Linked DNA regions of Xenopus tropicalis. The protein of the gene in region 2 binds, or shares a complex with, the protein of the main gene of each other region. Links are inferred from orthologs where the notes say so. Each region holds a gene or a part of one and is shown on either strand. Other genes may lie near its edges.

Region 1 (2,619 bases), on a different chromosome or scaffold from region 2:
CTTTCTACAGATCTCCAGGAAGCAGGCCTTCTGACATGGGAGATAGGGGAATACAACGAAAGCAAGGAAGATGCTAAGCCACCTGCCAAGAGAAGGAAAAAGAAACGTCCTAGTAAAAAAAAGAAGCAGGGTACCCTCATGGATGAAGAATGTGCAGAGACAAAGCAAACGAAGAAGCGTAAGAAAAAAAGATCTGGCCTTCAAGAAACAGAGGAGGATTTCCCCCGTGGACGCCCCAATGATTACTTAAAGTATAAAAAATCTTCAAAGAAGCATGATGGCAGCAACCTGTTCAAGGAAGACAAGAAAAATTTGCTTAAAAAAGGCTGGAGGAAGAAACATAAGGGCAAAAAGGGAGACAGTTGTGCTGTTGACCAGGACTTGCTCATAATTAAACAGAAGAAAAAGAATTCAAAGAAAAGGGTTGACTAGTCACAAAGCAGCACTGCATGAACAGATGTAATTGGATATTATAATACCTTCCATATACTGGAACCATAATCTGCAGGAACACAACATATTGTGGAGATCCCTGTTTCTCCAGATCTAAGTTAATATCACATATAACAAGCCTTTGAGCTGATAATTTAAAGAAACTATATAAATTTTTTATTAATGTATTTTATATATGGGTATGGATTCTTAATATTGTACTACGAGCAACCACCTTATAATAAGGGACTCAGTGTTTTACAGTGTATATGCTGCTTCTCTATTCATTCACAAATACACACATAACATACATTGTTTTACAACTCATTGTACGGGTTTGGTTTCAGTAGCAAGGAAGAATTTCTTTTCTTTTCTTGCCAAACTTCACCTAATCACAGTTTTGCTTTAGATGTGCTTATAAGGTGGTTTCAGTAGAGTGGCAAATACGGCTAAGCTGCTGAAAACTGTACAGTATCTGTACATTCAAATACATCCGGTTCTGATAGGAACATTTTTCAGTGTGTATCAGTGAGCTCTTTTGAAGGATCAATTCATCTGTCCCTTTAAAAGAGAATGGTATAATTGGGAAACATTTATATGGTCCCAGGAAAATTTGTTCAGTATTTTTATATACCGTATGTACTGTAACCTTATGTACTTTAGAACGTTTAAAACAAATACTTATTTTAGCAGTTAGATTTAGGGATACAAGTGCCAAGGGGGCCAAGTTCTGTGTATTCCTATATTCTTAGATTCATCATGACCTGTTTCTTTACATACTATGCTTTAGAAAGGTGCAGATAGTTGTTGGTTTTGCATACATTTACCTAGGTCTAGCTTTTTGAGGTTAAAAATCATCTTTGGTTCTTAAAGGGAAATTTAAAGAATAAGTAAATGAACTTAAAAGAATACGTAAGCCTTTTTTTAATCTCTAAAATTGCTCTGAATAGTGCCCTGAATAACATCTTTTCTCCCTGCATTCAGTTTCATGTCATTTCTAAATTACAAGTTGAAAATTGCAGCTCATTTCAGCTACTTCCTGGTCTACAATGAAGCTCTGCCCCCTTTTCTTTTCTGAGCTCTCCTTGTCTCTTTGAGCATGATGGTTAGATAGGTGCCTACTGTGCGTGCCTGATTGCTTTTTATTGAAGCAGAGGCAGCAAGCATGCACGGCAGACACCGTTTTGACTGTTTACAGTCAGACAGAGCAGGAAAGCTCAGAGAAGCAAAGGGGCGGAGCTTCACAATAGACTAGGAAGTAGCTAAGAGAGCTGAAGTTGAGCTGTTAGTGATACAAAATCTGCTGGGAGAAAAGGTATGTTCTTCTGGGAGCTTTTGTGAGTATTTTGGGGGATTTTAAAGTCAAAAGGCTTGCGTAACCTTTAAGTACACCCCAAATAAGTATGCAGATTTTTTATTGGTTTTCTGTGTTGTTTTCATCCTGCAGATACTTGTCTTCAAAACACCTCCTTACATTGTTTGTGCCATTGAAATAATACAAATTGTATTGCAGATGTTAAACATTTGAGTCTTGAGGAGATTATTAGTCCCTAACACTTAAAATGGCCACACATTATATTTCATGTTGATATTAAAGCAATGCAATTAATTGTATCTCAAGAAATAAATAAAATCTTCCATGTGCAACTCTTTAGAAAGTTTGTGTAAAGTGAGCAAGGTGGATTGTCCAGTCACTTACTGAATAAAGAATCACTGTACAGGTATGGGACTTGGGGTTTTCCTGATAACTGGTTATTCAGTCATTTGGATCTTCATACCTTGTCTAATCATATAAACATTAATTGAACCCAGTAGGATTATTTTACCTCCAATAAGAATTAATTATATATTAGTTGGGATTAAGTATACAATGGAGTCTATGGGAGATGGCCTTCCTATAATTCATAACTTTCTGGATAATGGGTTTCCAGATCCCATACTAGTACTAAGTTCTAAAGGTTATTTATTCATAATCTAGATCAGTGCTGTCCAACTGAATTAATTAAAGGGTTTTTCTGTTAAATGAATGCCATATAAAGTGTTTAATACAGCCCTTAGCTGGAGTTTTTTGGGTTCAAGTCCAGCCCACAGTCCACTTGGACAGATATGTTCTAGATCAGTGCTGTAGTATCAAGGGCCAGAATTTTTGTGGCCTACATAGTGGAAGGCCCATAATGGAAGTTGGTT
Region 2 (4,226 bases):
AATAAATAACCTTCATAGCAAACACATCAAATGAATTTGGAAAGGCCCATTATTTAAGATATTAGAAATTTTAAAGGACAAGGAAAGTTATAACCTATTTAACTGGAAATATCAAATTTCCAATAGTATAGGGCATACCATTTTATTCTATCCTCTCTCACATTTAGCTTCCTCTATAGAAAAGTTCTTCTGATCGAGCAGCAGGGTGAGATCACCATTCACTCCATGGTTAATCCCCCAGGAGATCAGCAAAAGGTATCAAATGATATTTTTAAAAGTATAGATCTCAAGAAGAAACACAAGCGGTTTGAGTTGGATTCACTAATACCTTTTGCTGATGGGAAAATAAAGATTAAAAAAATATTGCTTTTTTGATAAATTTGTGTGAGACCTGTACAACTTTTGTTTACTTAAAATCTCTGTATAGCGGACAAGTAAGAATGGGATTAAAACTTAAAAAAAAAAAGTTATTTTGTTCAGTATTATGCTAAAAGAGGCTTTACTGTCTTTGAAAAAAATTAAAGTAAAAGGAAAGGTACAATCGCTGGGGGATGTTAGGCACTACTCCCCCCCCCCCCCCCCCCCCATCATGCAGGCTCAGGCCAGGATTCAAAGTAGGCCGTGGCATATAAAATGCAAAGAAGCCAATACAGCCAACCCAGCAGCTCACTAAATAGTGACTGTCTATGGCATCTTACAGCAGCCCCTCTGGCATTTGCCAGAACCCACAAATTGCCAGGCCTGCCCCAGTGATTAGAATCATTTACCTGATAACCCAGGTTGGTGTTCTGCACTGGTCCAGAGTACCTGTGAGTAAGCAATCCACATACTTCTTCTTTTGCCCTGCTTGTGCATGCGCAGTAGAATGAAAAGTAGAACTTAAAAAAAAAAAAAAAAAAGCCTTTTCACGCCACTGCACGTACATTGGCCCCAGGACCACGAAGATGGAGGCAAAACTTGCTTGCAGGTACCTGGGCCAATGCAGTTTAATAATAACAGGAGTACCGGCCAAGAGCACCAGGTTTGGCATCACACGGATTCTAGGGGTACGTACAAAACTTTTTTTTCTTCAAAAATAGGTATGCTTTACATGGTTAAAAAGTTTAATTCGATTATGTCCTTTATTTCACGACAGATAAAAAATTAATAGTACAACAACTGAAATAACTCAAACTTAACATTATTTCAACAGTGACTATGGCCAGCAGATTTCCACTTAAACAGTTATGTCATTAATGGACATTAAAAAGCTTTCTATGATAAGCCCTCCCCCATATTTAGAGGCCACAACTTGCATAACCAGTGTCCACCACAAGGGGAGGCTACCTATAGAAAGTTTATTATCTGTAAACATACATATGTATGCTATATATACACACATATCACTTTAGGTTCATCCTGTACAGGACATTGCTATAATTTAAATATCTCGTTTGGATTATACACTAACTACTCTGATAGCATTAGTATCCTATAGGTAGCAGTGTTGGCTAAGCTAGAGATAAGTGGAAGAGAAGAGAAATTAGTGCCTTTACAGAGATCAAGGCAGTTATGATAGATACACTATGTATACCAGGACAGGAGTTTAAATGATTTGTTCAGGGTCACAATGTGTTTGTGTCACTAGCATCAGAACCAACATTAAAGGCAGATTATGTAACACAATTCCTCTTTTTCATTTCCCTAATCCAAAAGTACAAAATTAAACAACCGTATAAGTCTGAGAACAACATTAAATGTACAGAGGGGCACACATTTTGATACTCACCCTATGACCTCTTCACTATATGTTCGTGTTTTCCATGGAGTCCCGTTGTACAGCCCCACCACACTGCTCCCAGCTGAACATTGGAGAAGGCAGTTGAGTCCGAAAGTACTTGCCTTGTTATCCCGTTTTCTCTTATTCCTGTTTATATGGTCATGTCCTTTCCCCCACGCCCCAGGGCTCTGGCTCAGCAGTTGGTTGTTGTTATTATTGGTGGTCTCTATTGGGATGTAATCTCTTTGCTCCCCCAAGGACTGGTTGTTCTGAGCTGTTCCGCTGTCCCTGTACATTGTGTTGGTCTCACAGATCGAGGAGCTGCTGGAAGATGCGCTATGTGTGGGGGAGGCCGGACTATTATGGTTAAAGTAGAGGTTCCTCAATCCTTGCGTGGTCTCCCAGATCTGCATCCACAGGCTGTTGGAGGGGCCTAGCTGCTCTGGCTGAAACCAGGCGATCCGAGGATCCATCAAATGGAACCTGCCCCCCCCCCCCCCAAACTACCACCCCTGGGGCAGTTACCCTCTCTGTAATGCCTCTTACCCCAGCCCTAACAAACGTGAGTCCCTTCTACTCCCGAAATACAGCTACTCTGTGCAAAGTCCAAAATCACCAAACACTTCAACCCGATGGCTTCCTGCCTTTCCGGTCTTGGTACAAATGCCCTGCTTTAACACGCCCCTCCTGGTCCCCTATAGGGTTACCTAACCGCAAAGTTCTCCTTTATGGGCACTTCTCTCAATTAAAGGCCGTGGTGTACACTCTCACAACCGTTTTTCTCCAAACTGTTCGAAACCGCTTCGCATTCAGACAGCACCCTCCTCTCCAACTAATGCCTACGACTACAGGTTACCCCAGACCTGTACTCTTTTAATACTATCTCCCCATTCACCGTGCGTCGTGGGCTTTAAGATCCGTCTTCATACGGTAGTCCCCATGCCAAGCCTGATCTCTGCCACTGTCACACCGGGCACAACAATGGCGGCTCTTCCCTCTAACTACTTACTGCACATGCTCCAATCTTCAATTTCGGCCCAACCCACAAAAGGCGGGCCAATCTAAAGGTAGCTGAGCGCTACATTGTTCCGCCTCCTAATCAATAAGCCCCACATAGAAGCTTAACCAACAGGCGGGGCAAAAGAAAAGGCAACCGTAATCAGATTCTTCTAGGCTTTGATCTGATACTTATAGGCTAAGGATAAAGTTTGTTTCATTTTTCACATTAACTGTACTCATAGTTAACAATATCCAACCGAACAACGGGATTGCATACACCGTATAAATAGTACTATGCAATGCCGTGGATTTTTAGTTGCTGACTAAAAAGACCGGCAACTGAGCTGAAATGTTACGGTAAAACTGTAACCAATGCTGGAATGTAGATATTTATCGGCATTGTTTTCTCATAATGTTAACATTTCTCCTTTGCATCTTTGTTTCTCTAAATAAATGGTTGCCATTGTACTTGACTTGGGAAACATGCTGCAATAAATGTACAGTCTTACTATGTGCAAATATTGTTGGGTCCAAAGGACCAAGCTGTGTTTACAAGTGGTAGCTATATACATGGCCTGACCTCAGGGCCACCATCAGAAATCACGGGGCCCCTCCCTCAGGGCTACTCCCACAATGGCCCCTCCCATCAGTGTGCCCCCAATACATTTGTGCCCAGGGCCCGCCCTTACAATGCTGGCCAGTGTGCCCCCCAAAGACAGGGGCCCCAATTGCCCCCATACACAGGGCCCCCCTAAATCTATGCTGGCCAATTCCCCCCAAAGACAGGGCCTCCAATCGCCCCCATACACAGGGCCCCCCTAACTCTATGCTGGCCAATTCTCCCCAAAGACAGGGCCCCCAATTGCCCCCATATACAGGGCCCCCCCTAACTCTATGCCCCCAAAAGACAGTGCCCCCCGTTAGACAGTGCCTCCTCCAGGGTCTTTCTCCTCTGGCGGCGGCTCCAGCGATACTTCCCGAACAACTCCTTCTCACTTGTGTCTCCACGGGAAAGAAGACAGGCCCTTTTATAAAGTTGCGCCCCATGTGTACTGACGTCACACGTACGCACGGGACGCGACCAATCGGATTCAAGTATTGATGACAGGGCCCGTAATAGATTAAAGGGGGCCGAGCTAGTCAAAAAACTGTAGCACAGCCGGGCCCCCTTTAAAAGTAAAGAACGCCCAGGCCCGGGATGACTATCCCCCCTGTGCCCCCCTGATGGCAGCCCTGCCTGACCTACACAGTATTTAACTGTGAGCTATAGTTAACATAGGAGCAGCTGTAAATGCAGGGGTGCTCCTGCAATGAGGCAAGCTGAGAAACTTGCCTCAGAGGTCATGCCCACAGGTTACCAGAGGCAGTAAAAAGCCGCTCTTTTGTTAACTTTAAAAACTGTAATTTCCGCACTAGCAATGTGGTCCCTGGGGAATGGGATGGCATTGGTTAGGCCAGATTCAAGAAG

What was found. Proteins that work in one complex are often made in the same cells at the same time.
Region 1: tent4b (region 2) and zcchc7 share a complex: the UniProt entries of both Homo sapiens proteins name them as parts of the nucleolar TRAMP-like complex. The link is inferred for Xenopus tropicalis from reciprocal best matches to the Homo sapiens genes TENT4B and ZCCHC7.

What each region holds. Positions count from the first base shown.
Region 1 is NC_030677.2:109,180,985-109,183,603, reverse strand, and holds the end of zcchc7 (zinc finger CCHC domain-containing protein 7), read left to right. Parts: intron 1-10; coding exon 11-432; 3' UTR 433-2,079; downstream 2,080-2,619.
Region 2 is NC_030680.2:43,944,809-43,949,034, forward strand, and holds the start of tent4b (terminal nucleotidyltransferase 4B), read right to left. Parts: upstream 2,825-4,226; 5' UTR 2,233-2,824; coding exon 1,769-2,232; intron 1-1,768. UniProt on the Homo sapiens protein: Terminal nucleotidyltransferase that catalyzes preferentially the transfer of ATP and GTP on RNA 3' poly(A) tail creating a heterogeneous 3' poly(A) tail leading to mRNAs stabilization by protecting mRNAs from active deadenylation.